Linked DNA regions of Lonchura striata. The protein of the gene in region 1 purifies or fractionates together with the protein of each later gene. This does not show direct contact. Links are inferred from orthologs where the notes say so. Each region holds a gene or a part of one and is shown in the gene's direction. Other genes may lie near its edges.

Evidence for each region.
Region 2: the proteins of MAP4K4 (region 1) and RAP2C purify together in Homo sapiens (affinity purification with mass spectrometry; 3 studies listed by BioGRID and IntAct, counting the BioPlex papers as one, with this or other methods). This does not show direct contact. The link is inferred for Lonchura striata from reciprocal best matches to the Homo sapiens genes MAP4K4 and RAP2C.

The regions. Positions count from the first base shown.
Region 1 is NC_134604.1:87,602,581-87,612,050, forward strand, and holds the start of MAP4K4 (mitogen-activated protein kinase kinase kinase kinase 4), read left to right. Parts: upstream 1-5,773; 5' UTR 5,774-6,351; coding exon 6,352-6,408; intron 6,409-6,770; coding exon 6,771-6,836; intron 6,837-9,470.
Region 2 is NC_134616.1:7,565,231-7,574,189, forward strand, and holds the start of RAP2C (ras-related protein Rap-2c), read left to right. Parts: upstream 1-5,187; 5' UTR 5,188-5,207; coding exon 5,208-5,480; intron 5,481-7,183; coding exon 7,184-7,462; 3' UTR 7,463-7,503; intron 7,504-8,959. UniProt on the Homo sapiens protein: Small GTP-binding protein which cycles between a GDP-bound inactive and a GTP-bound active form. May play a role in cytoskeletal rearrangements and regulate cell spreading through activation of the effector TNIK.

The DNA.
Region 1 (9,470 bases):
GAGGTGAAATAAGTGTCACACTTGGGTCATGGGAAGATAGCTACAAGCCAGCTTAGCTACAAGCAGAGATAGCCTGTGACAGGCAGTCACACTCAGTAATTGTGTGCTTTGTGTGACAGATAGCAGACTCAGAAACAGCGAGCTTGTTAAAACCCTAGAACACGGGCAGTGTACAGAAATACACATGGGATCTTCTCAACTAGCCCAAGCATGCAACAGTATTTTTTATGCCAGGTTTTTGCATCATTGCCTGGTTTAAGTCCAGCTGCAGGACTGACAACAGTCTGATATGAAGTACAAGATTCTGGACTGTACTGTGAGTTCAGTCTGAGTAGATCAGTCAGGGATGTGGTGTCAATGAAAACAGTGTGGCAACATGAAATCACTCTTTCTTCTGTGCAGAAGCAGTCTCCTCACAGAGACTATGGCTCCATGGATGCAAATCCTATGTGAGCATGTTCAGAGTCAGATTCAAAATACCCCAGCTAGGTGATGCAAATTTCTGAACTTCACTCTGCTGGTTTAGATTTGTTCAGATTTCTCTGGAAGCATGTTGTCCCAGCAAACTTCATACCATTTCAGCCATCTGCTTCTCATGGCCTATGACTTTAAATGGACCAGGTACCATCTTACTTCATCACAACCAGCATAAACAAATGGCATAAAAATTGTATTATGTTATTTTCATATGAAAATTTGCATATGCTCATTTGTAATCTGGATTAAATAAAAAATGCTGGGTGCTCCACTACTGCACAAGTGTGATATTAATTATTATAGGACTAAGATTAACTTTTCCCCTTAGGCTATTCTGCAGTGCCATTTGAGGTAATTCTTCCCAAAATTATTTTCAGGACATGGTTTTGTGGTACCTAGATCTCTATGCAATAACAACGTGAGAAATTCTCACTCTCACCAAATTGCCTACCACTCATTTAAAGCAGGGCATTAATGGGAGGTAAAGCAAAACTTGCAAAAAAATAAAAATGGTGTATTCCTTTTTGCTAAGATCAGTCTAGCTACCAAACCACAATACAGAGAAGCCATACCAGCACAGCTGAAAAAACAGCACAGATGTGAAGCCTGGCAGGGGATGGAGAAAGGTGGGCACCTCCAAAGTGCTGACAGTGCTGACTGCACTGTGCCTCCCTGCATGGTACCGAGCAGCTGTGGAAAGGCTCTGACTCACTTTGCCACTCTTCCTGCACTAGCAGGATTGCTATATTTAGACATCCCCTGTATTTCAGGAGTCCTTTCAATCCAGTCCCCAAAATGCTAACAGAGGAAGCCAGCCAGGGTGTGGGCAGTGATGGCCTCAAAGAGTACAGCTGGTGGAAAGCTGCTCCTTTCTGGCCCTGTGCATCTTCATGTCACCTACATCATCATCTACATGTGCATCCCCAAGCTTGGGCCCGGCTATGTGCCTGAGCCTGATTCCTGCATGCTGGAATGAGGGAAACCCATCAGTGTGGGAGGCAGTGCAGCATCCTGAGGAGCGGGAAGCAGCAGGATGTCACCAGCAGCAGTGTGTGCGCAACTGGGCAATCAGAGCTGCAGGAACATGTCCACCCCATATGACATTGTAAAGATGCAGCATGAGAAAACCTGGGTGTGCCTGCAGAGATCACACAGAGCAGCTTTCACATGGAGGTGTGAGATAGGGGTGGTGGAAACAGCAGAGGAGGAGAGGAGCCTAAGCTAGAGGGAGGCTGATTGTATGGCATCCTTTTGTAACTGATCTACTCCCAGTATGTGTTGCAATAAATAGCATGAGGAAAAGTCTCCCAGCCTCCTTCTGCTCCATGTGCAGCAGGAGAGCTGGACTATGCAAAGCCTGACTCAGCCCCACTCACTACCCTGTCCTCTGTTACTTATCACCCTAGCTTGAGCCTCCCTCAGGGATTGTTTCAGCCAAGGAGAGAACAATTTCCCCAGAGTATGACAGGGTACATGTCTAATACTTCACACTATAAAGGAGGTCAAAATCACTCCCATTTTCCACATAGAGAACGAGAGTGGAAGCAGGAAATGAGATGCCCCAAGGCTATAGGATGAATCAGTAGTAGAACAAAATGAAAATTCAGAACTTCCTGTCTCTTTACTCATCTTCTTGAATACTGTTGATGATTAAGCTCATAAAAAGTTAGTGCAGTTGATGACCTCTGCATCTCTGGTCAGTGATTAGAGCCCTGGCATATTAGAAGTGGAAAATTATAGAACAAAGACAATTTCAAATAACTTGAAAAAAAATAGAGGGCAAGGAATTTCTTTTGTGGCTACAACATAAATGTTGAGTTCCCATCACTCCCACAGTGTCTCTTCCAGTAAGGAAGGAAGTTTCTCTAGTTTTACCCCTATGGGTCCACTGAGAGTTGAAATTGGCTTAAGCCACAGCCGCAACCAAGAGGCAATGCTGTGGTCACAGTTCCTGCCCTCCACTTAGTTTCTGACCCCTCGGTTTCCCTTTTGTTAACACATCAGCTCAAGGAGACACGTGATGAACCAGCCCAAGGAATTGATCAATAATAACATTAGAAGTTATTTTCCTTTTGTGGGTTAGCTTTGCTATGAGTCCTGGCTCACTATGTAGCTGTAGGAATGCTCATATCCACACAAGGGTACCATTCAATAGGAATAAATGGTCAGAGAAAGGGAAGCTCAGGACCCCTCTTTCAGGGATACTGAAACTGCTCAGGGAGCTTCAACTCCTCTGTTCCCTTCACTGCTATGAGCACTTTGAGCAGGAATGGGTGCAACTGTGTCTGAGGGTGATGGAAAGCAGCACACAGGTCCCAGCTTTCTCCTGCTTTGCTCCCCAGTGGACTCAGATATTTTGATAAATCTTCTGAAGTTTGTCATTAGAAAAACCATGTGTGCTCTGTGGGGAGACGATCCACAGGGTTGAAAATGCATTTCCTTGCATTTAGTCTTCGTTATGATTTTTGATGGCTGTCTCACTCTGTCTCACTTCAGCATTGCTGGTTTCACTATGAGGAAGAGTTAAAACAGATTGCTCTTCTTCTTTCCAGTGGTTTTAGGTTTGGTCTTTCAACCTTTGGACTTTCAAACTGGTTATGTACACTGAGCTGGTGAAGAGCATGATGAACATGTGAAGAGAGTGGTTTTGGCCACAGCTGAAGAGGCTTCTTCCTCAAAAAAGCAAGCTTTTCATCCCTTCACTTGAGTAGAAGAAAAAGGAAGCTGAGGCATCGTGGTGCTTCACTCTGGGAACTAGCAGGAAGCTCTCTTCATAAAGCATTTACTGCTTTATGAAAACTATTTTTTCCCCTAAAGATAGAGGATGGCTTACTTTTCAAGAATTCACAATCTTGTTGCTAGCACTTTAGCAGTCTTTAGTGTAATACAAAAACATGCCAAAGAACTGAACTCACTCTAATAAAATAAAAACTTAAAGCAGAGAGGGAACACTGTGGTGGAGCCACATCAGAGGTCTGGTGAAATGACATCTGTTGGTGAAAATATGAATGGTGAAAATGTGTATATGGGCTCAGATCCTCATCTCTAAAATCCTGGCCTGTACTTTTCAGAGGCACAAGGAAGTTGTTACGTCCTGGGTTTGGAAAACTCAGAATTCAGAATTTGGGCCTGAAAATCTTTCAGCATTCAGAAATGCACAACAACAGTCTCTGAGGTGGTATTAACATTACAGAAGGGGATCCTGGAGTTATAATAGGCATGTGCCACAGGAATGTCATATTCATACCCAACAGTGAAGAAGGGAAGGATCAGGAGCGGATTAGAAACGAGGACATCACAATGATGCTGCACGGGGAAGCCAGCATGAACATGAGATGGAAATCTGTTTACCCATGTCAAAAAGGAAGGTATTAGAAATGGTTCAATGAAGGACAAATATAGAATGAGTTCCATTTGTGGTATCACTAAAAAGACCAGAACTTACTAGCTGGCAAAAACCAAGGGGAAAACACACCAGAAGTCTAAAAAATGAACATAATAAAGAAAATGAATAGGAAACGATTGGTGTCTCTTCCAAAACAAGAACCAGCAGGATATTTTTTTTTTAGTTTAGCAAAAGGTGCTCTCCACACAACATGTTAGCTCACCTTTGGAACTCCCTGCCAAAGGACACTGCGAGAGCCACAAGCATGTATGAATCCAGAAAGTAAACAGCCAATCTAATGGAAGGAAAACACAATTAAAAAAAACAAAATGCAGGGACACCAAATGCTGCTAAAGAGCTCCTTGAGCTGTAGAGAGTTGGTAAAATAAGCCAGGGAAGTATTACTGGATGGTTAAAGTATCCCTGTGATCTTCTCTCAGTGTCTACTACTGGCTAAATCTGGAGATGGATGCTGGGACAGACAGGAAATGGATCTGACCTACCAAGGTTTCCCTTACACATAAAAAGGCTGAGTTACCATGTAATGCAAACCAGACCAATGATAATAAATCTTTGTAGAAATACACTTTTCAAAACCTACTGCATCTCTAGACTTGATCTTACTCCTGTGCATGCACTTGGGCAGACACAGCATCAAATACATTTGAAATTACTTGCCTTTTCCTAACTATAGGTTCCTGTACAGAGAATGAAGTTTCCTGGTCTAGGCTGAAGTTTCCTTTCTTTGTATCTACACTTAAAGTGAAAATGAAGTATGCCATTAAACTGTTATGGTAATTTATCCTTAAACTTTCTGCTCAACAGGTTTGCTTTGTTTCAAAAGTATGTTTCTGTAATACTTATAGCTATGTATATGTAATTTTGTGGTTAAATTAGAAGACAGGAAAACCCCGATTCCCACAGGAAACTCGACCTCTTGCAAGCAGGTAACACTTTTGCCATATCAGTGTGATAAAAAACTTCAATGAGAAACAAATCCTGCCAAGGTTTACACTTGTGTCAAACTGCCTGATGTGTCTTGCTCAAGTGAGGTTAATGAGATTTTTCCACGATTCAAATTCTGCTAGAGGATTCTTCTGGGCGGGAAGGGGGCCTGAGACAGCTCTGTCAGTAAACGATGTGTTAAAATATGAGAGATGGGTCTGGTTCTGTGGGCCAGGATTTGGCCGTCTTTCTGTAGAAATCTCTTCATGAGACATAATGTTTTTTTTCCTGTGGGCCTGGGATCTCGAGGCAGGGGGGAACTGTGACATTTTGCTGGTCATCTCACCGGGGATGGGAAAATATCCCCACCACACGGTGCATACGAGCCGTGACAGGCCCCCACGGAGCGCGCTGTCCCGCAGAGGCGCGGCGGGGGCTGCAGGGCTCCGTCCTTGCCCCGGGCCCGGGCACGCGTGGGGCTCCCGCGGGCGGGGCCCAGCGCCGGTGCGGCGGGGAAGGGCCGCCCGGGGTCGCCCCCGCCCCGCGGGGCTATTGTGGGCGGCGGGGCGGGCAGGCTGCGCGGCCGGTTCCCTCCCCGCCCGCTGGCTCCCTCCCTCTCTCTTTCTCTCTCCCCGCGAGTTTACCCAGCAGTGCTCTGGTGCGGGCGCGTTTCCGCCGGTTTTTCCTGTTGGAGAAGGGAAGGGGGAGCTGTTCTCTTCTCTCTCTCTCTCTCCGCTCGCAGTATATTTTTTCTCCTCCTCCTTCTCCTCCTCCTCCTCCTCCTCCCCGGCTATCTTTGTCTGGCTCGCAGCACCCCGCTCCAGCCCCGCGCCCCTGCCCCGCCGCCGCCGGGACGCGCAGCCGCTGCCCGCCGGTGCCCGGCGCCGTTTGATGCGAGGGCAGCGCCGCGGGGAGGGCTCGGAGGCGGCGGGGGCTCCGCCGCGGCGCTGGGCGTGAGCCGCCCCCCCATGCGAGAGCGGGGCCGCGGCTGCCACTGCCGGCTCCCGGCGTGAGCGCCGCCGGCCGGGCCGAGCCGTGCCGTGCCATGCCAGGGAGCGGGGCGCATCGTGAGGCTGCCAGAGGCTGCCGGCACCGGCGCCGCTCCTGCCGCCGCCGCCGCGACATGGTGTGAGCCCGCTGCCGCCGGGGACGCGCGGGCACCCACCGACTCACCCGCCCAGCCACCGACCGGCCGGCCGGGATCCTCGGGGGGATCCAGCCCCGCACTGCAGCGCGGGGAGACGGACGGACGGACAAACCGCAGCACCCCTTCTCCTTCTTCCTTCCCTTCCTTCACCTCCCTTTCCCTCCTCCTCCCACCATCCATCTATCTATCCATCATCCCCCCCCCCGCCAACCCCTCCCAATGCTGAAGAGTTTCAACCCAGCGGGGCTGGAGTGAAGAAGGGCGGAAGGGAGGAGAGGAGCGGAGCTCCGCGCAATTCACAGCTCCTCCAGGGAGGGGGGAGCGGCCTCGCTATTATTTAACAGAGAAGAAAAAAATATTTAAAGAAAAAAAAAAAAAAAAAAGAAGAGACGGGAAAATGGCGAACGATTCTCCTGCAAAAAGTCTGGTGGATATCGACCTTTCCTCCCTGCGGGTGAGTGCCGGTGCCGGGGGCCGGGGCGGGGGCCCCCCGGGGTCGGCGCGCCCCTTGCCGGGGCTGCGCGGCCGGTGGGGTGGGAGCGGCCGGGCCCGGGGCCGGTGCCGGGCGCGGGGGCCGCGGCCGCATGGGGGGAGCCCTCCCGCGGGGGCGGGCGGGGGACCGCGGCCCTGGGCTGCTTTTCCTTTGTTTGCATGTATTGGCATGTGCGTGGAAAAACAGGGCGCAACAGCTGCACGCCGCCAGCAGCCGGGTTCGCTGGCTGGGCTCTGCCAGCAGCCATCGCCTGAACAAAAATGTAACCCCACTTCTCTTCTCCCCTTTCCTCCCCCGCCCCTTCTGCCCCTTCCTCCCCCTAGGACCCCGCTGGGATTTTTGAACTGGTGGAAGTGGTTGGCAATGGCACGTACGGGCAAGTCTACAAGGTTTGTGTCAGAATTTCTTCTCCTTTTATTGTTGCCGATCTTCCAGAGGGTACCCGGTGTCTGCGCCGGGCTGAGCACACGGCTGAAGGCGAGCCACCCGCACTGGCAACCGGAACAGTGAGGGGTGGTAGAAGTGTTGCCCTTGTCATTGTTGCTGGCCTTGTCAAGTTTGTCAGCCTCTTGGCTTCTGCTTTTTTAGACGGGTACAAATTACTCTCCCAAGTACCCATCCTGTAATGATGAAATACGCCTTTATTGTCCTTATTCTTCTCTGTGCTCCTTTCAGAGAAATGACCAAACCAAGTGGACGCTGTCAGAGTCTGGCTCGGTTATACAAACACGTCCACAGGCTTATTCAGCTTTGCTGCTGGAAATCCTTATAGAAGTTGCTGCTGCTGCAGTGACTTTAGACAAAGACATTTGCCATAATTAAAACTGTCACCCGGTTTCCTTGTGAGTGTTGAAGCTCTGGAGTTGGGGGTGTGTGCATCTGATGGGCTGTGCAGAGATGAGGGGTGCAGAGTGACAATAATAAGTGACCAAAGCAGAGAAGTTTATTTTGTGGAAATCAGAATTCCCAGAATAACCTGTTTGACAAGTGTATGACTTTAAAAAATAGAAATCAGAGAGTGCCCATGTGGGTGTGAAACTAGCCTACTTTTTTCTTTTTTTCTTTTTTTACCCTTTAGTGTGCAGTCAGTGGAACAAACAAATCTTGAGCTTGCATGATTTTGCAGTGAGTGCTAGCTACCAGGAGGACTAATTATTTGCACAGACTTAATACTTGGCTAAAGATTGAAGGCTCTAGCCTTAAACTGTAGAAATGCAAGATGCATTTGGAGAGAGAAGGAGAGATGAAGATGCTTAGTTGCTTGTTTGTTTTTTGGTTGTTTTTTTGTTGTTGTTGTTGTTTTTCTTTTTGCTTATAAACAAGGGACTGTAATTGGTCCGCGTTTCCCTGATGGCAAGATACTGCTGCTTGCAGCTCCGGTAACTAATGCTCCAGTAAATAAAGTGCTTTGCTGCCTCTTCTGCAAATGAAACACATGTCAGTTTGTTTTGAGGGCGTGAACCTCAGCCTTCCTGATGGAGAATTGGTCTGCCTGTGCAGTGTATTAGTTGCTTTTTAAGACTTGAGCTGGAATAGCCAGACTGCTGCTGTTGGTACAAAGGTGGGAAAAAGAATGTGGCTCAAAGGGCCACAGGAGACGGGGAAGATAAGTAAAAGCTTTGACACAACCTCGACTATTTAATTTTTTTATGCCATTTGAAAGGACACAACTTTTTTCTGTAATCCTTTGCTCCCAGAGCTTGCATCATCTGAACCCTTATTAAAAAAAAAGAAAAATAATGGGGTGTGAATGTGTGAGTTGAAACTCTCCTGTTAATTATTGCAATTTAGTGTATTGTTTCTCAGTGTACTTGTTAATGCTTTTGAATAATGAGCAAAGTTCTCCTTAGTTTAACAGTCTTGACAATAGAAATGTTAAACTTAGTTTTCTTTAGGTAAGGTAGAGCTCTTCCAGAATAGTTAGTATTAGAAATGAAACTGGGCACATGCATTTATTGTCTTGGAAGAGTTGAACACCTGATGTCATCAGTGTCACTGTGATAATGGGGAGCAACAGGCAACCTTTTTTCTTGCTATAGAACCTGCTGGACAGTAATGGATTGACAGGTGTTTAAGTTTGGGTTGGCACTGCTTCTTCTTAGGTATTTGTCTACATTTGTGTACATACACTGATAATGTGGACACCTAACAGGGCTGTATGTAAACAAATAATACCAAACAAAAAAACTTTCTTTCTGTGATAAGCATTTTTTTTTTTTAAGTAATGAAATTATGTAAAAAAAAAATTAAAAATCAGTTGTTGCAAAAGTTGTTGCAAAAAACAAAACAAAACAAAAATCCCAAACCTTTTCTTGGGCACTTTTTTTGCTAGGAAAAATGCTCCAGGGATGCCCAACGATGAGACTGTATGTGTATGTTTTGAGGGCTTTCATGGGAACTGCATAACCAAGGGAAAAACGTGTTTATGCCATGTTTGCTTGTTGCCTTCTGCTTTACTTGTACCCAGCAACCACTTCTTGAAATCTCTCTTCCTGGATGGTTTTATTTCCCTTGTTAGCGGTCTGTCATCCCAAGGGGCTGGGGGGTGGGGTGTAGGTTGCTTTTGAGGAGCCGAGCTCCGAGATGTAGTTTGATGTACTTCCACATTCGTGTAGAGGCATCAGCGATGATGTCACCCGGGAGCGGGATTGGCTGGCTACCTGCCACTGCGGGAGGACACGCAGGGAGCGCAGAGGCCATGACGTTATCTCTTTGTCTAGCTCATACACCCGCCGATGATGCCGAAGGTCGCTTGCCTGGCTGGGGAGTCAGCTTTCCAGCAGCGCTGGGAAGGGGAGTGCGCCAACCTGTTGAAAAGCAGAAAATAGTCCTGTTTTTCTCCCCTTTGCCTTAGCTGAGCTAGCTGGAAATAGCTCATCTATCTGGCTGGTGATATTTCTGTAGCTAGTTCTACCTTAGCTATTTATTTAGCTATATGTAGGTGTGTAGATGTTTATACATGTATGAAATGTGAGGGTAGCCCTTGAATGTTTGGCACCTAAATGCAAGTCGAGTTACTCTGC
Region 2 (8,959 bases), on another chromosome or scaffold:
GAGGACAGCCCCGCCCGCTCAGCTTTGCAGAAATCTGTGCAAGGCGGCAGCCAAGGAGAGGGGCTGTGCTGGCACCACGCCGGGTGTGTGCAGGACAGGCCAGTCCCGGAGAGCCACGGAGCTGCAGCTCGGTGCGAGCCCCGCAGAGCAGAAAGGATTATGGCTTGGACTGTGAAGGGCAGCGAGGAGAGAGCTCGATGTCTGGAGAAAATAGGAAGAGGAATGACCCGTGAAACCACATTTCTGCCTTCACCACTGGTGGCTTGCTCACACGGAGCAGTGACTCATCACGGCCGGAGCTGATCCTGCCGGCAGGAGAGGCAGCATCGCGGGGATAACCAGGAGAGAGGGCAGGTGGGGAGGGGAGGGGCTGCAGCCACTGCGTGTGCCTGGGGGTAGCGACAGCATCTTCCCCTGTGGTGCTGTTCGGCTCCAAGCTCTTCTAAATGGCTGGTGATCTGGTACCACGTCTGTGAGCCAAAGAGAGATGCTTCTCCCAGAAATCCCAACAATCTTCTTGGTGTATCAATTATATTTCAGTGCAGTCCCACTTCTGTTTCAGAATTAGTAAGTGCTTTGGAAAATGTCCTTTACTTCTTTTGAAGTACCATCATGCCTTTTGTTGCGACTAAAGTAATGGCTAAAAGCTGAGGGATGGCAGAAAATCAGAAATTTCTGAGAAAGGTCCTCAGGATTTGCCTCTGAGTCATCTCTATATTGGCAGGAAAAGCTGGCAAAAAAGAATAGCATCTCTGCAGGTTCTGAAACAGCCCCAGAATGAGGAGTCTGGGCCAGGTGGACACATCCAACCCCTAAGACATATTTCACTGGAATTTGACAGGGCTTAGATCAAAAGCTGTCATTGCAGTTCCGTGACTGGTGTAACACGACGACCTCCTTGAATGAGCTGCATGTGAGAGCAGCCCCCGGTGCTCCAGTAGCCATTCCAGCCCTGAGGAATGTCCCTGCCCTGCAGCTTCCACGCTGAACACCATAAGGCACAATAAGTGGATTAGCAAAACCTCTGGAAGAGGCAAAGAAGAAAGGACGCTGGGTCTTAAGCTGGTTTTGCATGTATTTACACAAATGACGTCCCCAGCTAGATGGCAACTGAGGTGAAATCTGGGCTATCCCTGCTGCCCTGGCTCAGCAGCTGCTGCAGCCTTCCTGGCAGGGCAGAGCCTGCTTTGTAGCTCGGGCAGACGTAGGGAGTCAGAGCAGATCGATGATGGCAGCGGGGACAGCCCACAGGAGGTGGTGGCTGTACAGCACCCACACTGTGGCTGCAGTGGGGAGGCTTTGGCTGCTGGGGGTGGTGCAGGCCCACCCTGGCATCCACAGGACACGTTCCAGACTCCTCACTCCATCCATGGCTTGGAGAGGCTCTTTTGTCACCTCTTGGGGTGACTGCTCCCAGTCCCACCTCCCTGTTGGGCACAGCACCGGGCAGGATTCATCTCTCCCATTGGTGAGATGGGGATTGCAATTATTCCTGGCCCTTGCTTGTGCCATCTGTCTGTTCCCTGAACATCCCTGCAGGATCTGTGTCTTAGCAGGTTAATTTAATAAGAGCCTGCTTTATTGTTGCTGGCTGCGGGCACAGCATAGAGCAGCTGAGTCCATCAACAGCACAGAGCTGCTCTGGCAGCAATCGAATCCTGCCCGGATGTTCATTTGGGAAGGTTGTTTTGCTGAGAAAGGGCAAACCCTCCTGGGGCAGCACCGAGGGCTGAGCCCTGCTCCTTTCTTCTTGGCAGGAGCCGTGGGGAAAGTGACAGCAGAGATTAAATCAGGCCTTTGACCCGGGATGTGCCGCACCTCCGGGGAGGGGATGGTGATAGTGAGGGAGTGGCAGAGGTGGCACTGGCAGGAGGTGCCCTGCACGGCTGGCTCAGGGCTTGGCCATTTATGGCAGAAGCAGCTCTTCCCATCCAGACTTTCAAAACCTTTTACATCACCAGCTATTTTTGTGGCTCAGGATATGTGGTAGGGCACAAGGCGGTGAAAGAGCTGTGCAAACTGTTTAATGAAGGGAATGACTTGTCTTAACGGTAACAAACAGCCTGGTGCACTTTGGGATTGGCCCTTTTTTCAGCTGTAGGCATCTATGCCCAGGTATAAAGTGCTGTGAGCTGGGAAATAAATCTTGGCAATCCAAATCAATACTGGGATTGATTTACGGAGGAGGGAAAAAAAATCCATTTTCCCAATCCTGTGTCCACCTGCTTGTTCTTCCCCTCAGCCCAAGAGCGAGGCGTTGCTGGCTAAAGTCAATTGCACAAAAATATATTTGGCTTTTCTCCCGCTGTGCTCTTTGCCCCTTCCTCTCCCGCAGTCATTCCTCCACCCATCACAAACATAATGGACCAGCAGTGCCACAAAGACGTGCACATAATGAACCTAAGTGACCGTGTAATCCTATTATTGTCACCCTCACCCTCCCTTGCTCCTTTGCTCCCTCCCCCCCGTTTGTCACTGTCACCGATTGTGTCATGGTTAAAATTAGATGGGAAGCTCCTCTGGGAGCACTGCGGCTTTCCTTTGTCCCGAGCACCCTGAGTGCATTAAGGTACTTCGCAACAACTCGTGATTTCTAATGGGGTTAAAGTAGGAGGCAGCCTGTTTTAATGCTCACCTTTTTACATTTTCGAGCTGATTCACCAGCCACATGAAAATCTTCCAGCCAGGCACGTCTGCCTCCTGCCAGCAATTCACTTGACAACACAATTCTGGAGGCAACGGTGAAGGAAGGCAAGGGCTTTTTACTTATATTTGATAAAGAAGAGTGAGTCAAATTTGGTGTAACATAAGTAAGATTTGTTCTGGAGGATAAAAGTCCTCATCCTCATTGACCTTTTCCCATAATGGACCTGTTGTCTTTATGGAAAGCAAGTGAACAAAATAAAGCTGTTTGTGAAAACAGCCACAAGCAGAGTCACCTCCTCAGTACCTTTGGATGGTTTTAGCCGCCTTGACCAGGCACCTCTCTATGGCTGCTGGAAACCCAGGATGGACACAACGCAGCAGCTGTGTGTGCCCTGGACTGGCAATCACACAGGTGATGCAAAGGGGAAAGGAACAAATCCAGCACTTCACCACGTGCCTGCTGAAATCCTGCAGGGAGCAGCAGAACAAACGTGTTTGTACTGGAGGGCAGCTGCTCCTACAGGTGGGAATCATCGCGTGGGTCTGGAGTGACTGGGGGGGTTTATTTTAGGGAGAAAACAGACGGGGATTCCTTCAGTCGGTTCCTCCTGCCAAGGGGAGTTCCAGGGCAGGTGGCGCTGGTGCCGTGCTGTCCCTGCTGACCCTACTGTCACCTGCTGACCCCTGCTGTCACCTGCTGACCCTGCTGTCACCTGCTGACCCCTGCTGACCCTGCTGTCACCTGCTGACCCTGCTGACCCTGCTGTCACCTGCTGACCCTGCTGTCACCTGCTGACCCCTGGTGTCATCTGCTGTCACCTGCTGACCCTGCTGTCACCTGCTGTCCCCTGCTGACCCTGCTGTCACCTGCTGACCCTGCTGTCACCTGCTGTCCCCTGCTGTCACCTGCTGACCCCTGGTGTCACCTGCTGACCCCTGGTGTCCCTGCTGACCCTGCTGTCACCTGCTGACCCCTGCTGACCCCTGCTGTCCCCTGCTGTCCCCTGCTGTCACCTGCTGTCACCTGCTGACCCCTGGTGTCATCTGCTGTCACCTGCTGACCCCTGCTGACCCTGCTGTCCCCTGCTGTCACCTGCTGTCCCCTGCTGTCACTACTGACCCCTGCCCTGAGCCCAGCCCGGCCGGGAGCTCCGCCGCTCCTCCCTGGGGGTTTCAGAGCCGGGCAGTGAGCCCTGTGCCAGCTGCACCAGTGCAAGGACACGGGGCAGATCTTGCCTGACCTTGCGTACCTCTAGCTGTGACCTGGAGGCAGCAGCCTGCAGAGTCAGGAATGCTTTGGGCTGGGAAGGATTTAAAGGGGATCTCGTGTCACCCCGGCCTCGGACACTGCAGGACTTGGGGCGGCTCCTCTGGGCAGCCTGTGCGAGGGCCGCACCGCCCGACAGGGACGATTTTATTCCCAATAGCTGATCTGAACTTGCACTCTCTCAGTCTGAACCCATTCCCCCTTTTCTGTCGCGACATGTATTTGTGAACATGTAAACATCCCTCTCTGTCTTTCCTGTAAATTCCCTTCAGGCACTGGCAGGGGCAATTAGGTCACCGCGCAGCTTTCTCATCTCCAGGCTGAACAATCCCAGTCCCAACCTTTCCTCATATCAGAGGAGCTCCATCCCTCTGGTGACTTGGTGGCCCTCTTGTCACCAGCCCAGCGGGCTGCCAGGGATGAAGAACCGCGGTGCCGGTGCCACAGCCCGGGTCCCCTCCCCCGCGGGAAGCTGAGAGGAGTTTGTTAAGGAGTTTGTTCAAGTTATCGAGTACCGAGCAGGAGCTCGTGGAGGGACAACGCGGCGCTCCCAGAGCCGCCCTTCAGGTTCGGGACGGCGGCCGCCATCTTGGCGCCGCCATCTTGGGGGCGGGCAGGGACAGCGCCCCGGTGCCACACCCAAACCTGTCCCCCTGCACAGCACAGTGCCTCGGTGCCATATCCAAAACTGTCCCCCTGCACAACGGTGCCACACCCAAACCTGTCCCCCCGCACAGCACAGTGCCTCGGTGCTACAGTCAAACCTGTCCCCCGGCACAGCGCGGGTGCCTCGATGCCACACCCAAACCTGTCCCCCAGCACAGCACACTGCCTCGGTGTTGCACCCAAACCTGTCCCCAGCACAGCACATTGCCTCGGTGCCACACCCAAACCTGTCCCCAGCACAGCACATTGCCTCGGTGCCACACGCAAACCTGTCCCCCGGCACAGCGCGGGTGCCTCGGTGCCACACTCAAACCTGTCCCCCGGCGCAGTCCGGGCGGGCCGTGACGCAGCACGCCGGAAGTGAGCGCAGGCGGCGGGGCGGGGCGGCCTCCGGTGTCCCAGCGAAACCCTTCCGGGCGGGCGGGTCCCGCGGCGATGGCGGGAGCGCGGCGCTGAGGCAGCGAGCGGGGCCGGGGCCGCGCCGGGCGCTGACGGGGTCTGGCTGCCCCCGGGACGGCGCGGGAGCAGCGGGGCCTCGCCCTTCACGGGAGGCGGGCCGGGGCTATGCGAGGGCCGCGGTGCCGCCTGCCCTAGGCCGGGCCCGGCGCGGAGCGGCCAGCGGGGCCCGATGCGGGAGTACAAGGTGGTGGTGCTGGGCAGCGGGGGGGTGGGGAAGTCCGCCCTGACGGTGCAGTTCGTCACCGGGACCTTCATCGAGAAGTACGACCCCACCATCGAGGACTTCTACCGCAAGGAGATCGAGGTGGACTCGTCGCCCTCGGTGCTGGAGATCCTGGACACGGCGGGCACCGAGCAGTTCGCCTCCATGCGCGACCTCTACATCAAGAACGGGCAGGGATTCATCCTCGTCTACAGCCTGGTCAACCAGCAGTCCTTCCAGGTAACCGAGCCCGGCGTCCCCTCCTCGCACGGAGCCGGCCCTGCCCGGGCCGAGCAGGAAGTTTTAGGGGTAGCCACGTGTGCGTGGCAGCGCTTTATCTCCCAAGGGCCGAAAGTGTAAATGCCCAGCTTGAAAGCGCGTTTACCAGCCCTGCTTCCCGGTGGAAAACTGCTTGCTTTGCAGGTACTTATCAGGGTGCCACCATTGTTAAGTCCCACGCAGTGCTGGAGAACAATGCCTAGCTCCCACTTCCCCAACAGAAATCTCTTGGCAATCCCCTTTTGTGAAGAAATCACTCGATATTAAAACTGAGACTTCCCCTTCCAACCCCCTCTCCTTCCTAAAAGGCATGTTTCTGCAGTTGCTCCTGAAGAGAGTCTCATTGTTCTACAGTTGTGACTTGTTAAGTGAGCTGCTATTTTCCGCTCCCTGCCCCCAAAATATATTCCTGTCCAGCACGAGCTCGATGCTCTCCCAGCGTAGGTGGAGTACTGGAGAGCAGAACTAGCTATACACGGTAATTTGTGGTTCTGGATTTGATTTCTACTATTAAAACTCTCCAAAAAAAGGAACTGTCTCAGCCAGTAATTGGTCTAAGCTGCCTGTAGAAACGGGGCTTTGTTTTTGGGCAGTAAGTGAGTTTAGCAGCACTCCGTGCAGCTTGGGAATTTGCAGCTCCTGCCTTGGCTTGGGCTGCTGAGCTGGGTGTGTTCCAGCTGCTTGGCAAGACCTTCCACACCCCCACTGTTTGCTTCTGCTGAAGGCTAAACCTTATCTCAGCAGAGGCCTCGAAACAACCCTGTGCGAGCTGAAGACACGCTTATCTCTAGAAAACAACAGCACTGACATTGGGATGCTTCTGCTCTCATTTTCACTGATTTTTGGGTTCCAGCGAGCCCTCATTATTTGAGAAATGCATGTGCAGTAATCTTGTTAATATTTAATTATTCCCGTCTGTCTGTAGTGTTTGCTCTGAAGGCTGTAGGTGTAAACCTCTCTGCAGTTCTTTGCACGGTGGTAACTTCAAACGCTGGGATTGCTTTGTCTCAGAACTATGCAAGAATTTGTAGTACCGATAGCAACTTAAAACACTCAGGGGGCAGAGGAGGCTGACTCAGACTTTCAAGTGTAAACGCCCCGTGTCGGCTCAGACTTGAATAAATGCATCTCTAGGTAATAAAATCTCTTTACAGCATCTAATTTGGTTACTTACATGTGATTAAATGTGTTCACAATGAATTATTCTAAGCATTCCAGGACTGAGAAGGCTTTATTTAAATTGATGGTTTTCTCAAGCTGTAAACTAAGCACAAACTTCCTAAATGGTTGTGTAATGGCACGCCCCTGCTAGGGTTACAGGTCGTTAGACTTGAGACAACTTCTTCAGAAAGGTGAAACCAGCCTTCAGAGCAGCAGTACCGTGTCCTCCTCTGGCTGAGAGCACAGCAGTCACTTTCTGTTGGTTTATGCACATAAATTCTTTAAAGTGTGCATGCTTTTATATGAAAGAAGAAGTAGTTTAGTGATAGGTGTTAAATTTTCTCAGAATTCTAGATCTGCGTGACTGTGAGTTTAAAAAGTCTTCTGGTGTATTTTTAATGTCCAGTTGCACGTGAGGGTTACTAAAATGTGTTCCTACAGTGGTTCTGTAGCAATTCCATGTGATTCCTTGCATGCACTAACCAGCTGGATTGTTTGACCAGGATATCAAGCCGATGAGGGACCAGATTGTCCGGGTGAAGAGATACGAGAAAGTTCCTCTGATCCTGGTGGGGAATAAAGTGGATCTGGAGTCGGAGAGGGAAGTCCTATCTGCAGAAGGCAGAGCCCTGGCTCAGGAGTGGGGCTGTCCCTTCATGGAGACGTCAGCCAAGAGCAAAACAATGGTGGATGAACTGTTTGCTGAGATCGTCAGGCAAATGAACTATGCCTCCCTGCCTGAAAAGCAAGATCAGTGTTGTACAACTTGCATCGTCCAGTGAGAGATATTAAGAAAAACCTCAACCATGGCCATACAGAGCAGGTTGGTGGAACATAACTAACTGAGGTGCCTAAACATGGTGTTTCAGTAAGAGATAAAGGGACAGGGAGTGTAAAATGAGGCAGCCTCCCTCCAAAAGATGGGAGATTGTGCACATGATTGAGTCAAATGGACTTCTTGCGTTACCTCAGTAGGGTTAGTCAGGGAAAGCTGCATTTGCTTGCAGTAATTTTACAATGACACAAAATGAGTGATCTCATCTGCACCTATTTTGACTGTCAGTGCTGTATTTGATGCTGTGTTATTCTGCATAAGTGCTTTGTGATGTTGCAGTGGGTTTATTCTTGTAGCTGGTATCTCAGTTATTTTCCAGTAATGGGAGTTACCTTGGAGTTCAATGGGATTATTGTGACCAAGTTTCCCAGTAGTTTTACTGAGAAGACTTTGAGCTTGTTTAAAAGATATAAAGTTCTGTAGCACAGAAACTGATAGTACCCTTCTGCCTTATCAGTGGAATAAGTTTCTTTTGCAAGAGAACCACCCTGAGTGGTGAGAAGTGGCTCAAAGCCCACATGCAACAGTCAAGGGCATGCACAAAGTGTTCTTCATCTCAAATCTCCAGAGCAGAGAACACACTGTAAAATGGCTTCCCATGCACAGCTCTCCTTTTCCAGTGACTCAAAAGAGGTGTGATGAGAGTCCAGCGTTCAGAGGGCCCTCTGTAAAGTTTCCCCTGTGTCAGGTGTTGCTTTGATTTTTATTTTTTTCCCCTCCAGGACAGCTGCCTTTGGCCTTTCACATGTGTGGTCTTTTTTTCATCACCTGTGTGCATAGGTCTGTCCCTCCCCAATGTGCATTCCCACTCCTGTTTCCCCTGTAGCTGTTGCAGGTCTTGTTTCACCTCTGGCTCGAATCCATGTGACTGCAAAGCAGGGTTGGTGTGCTCTGTGTGGAGCCAGCTGCTCCCTCAGACCTCCAGTTGTCTGTTGGACCTTTGCAAACAACTCCGAGAGCAAGTGCAGGAATGAGGGATGATGTGGAAACTCAGGGGAAGGAACTGCCCCTCCTGACAGCTGCACTGCTGCAGGCTCAGACTCCCACTGCCACATTAGTAACTTGCTTAACTCAAAGGAGCTTTTTGTGCCTGAGTGACAACAGGGAAAATAGGTTATTACTGGAAGCTTTGGACCATGTATCCTCTTTAATCTGGAGTGCAAGGTCAGAGTGAAGTCTCAAAGCTTCTCTTTGAGATTGTTATCAGGTGCTTTGTAAATATCAAGTTTTAGGTGCTCATGGCTCTAGCACTGTCATGCTACAGATAATACATGATGTTTTTATCTCCAGTTCTGTGAAATTAGGAAGGGCTGCTGTCACTGTGTAAGAGGTGTGTGTAAGTTTGAGATTTGCTTGTTGAAAGGTGAGCTTGTTTTGGAGCACAGGAAAATTCAAATAAAGTCTCTCATTGTGTGGGAACATCATTGTACATTAATCACACCTG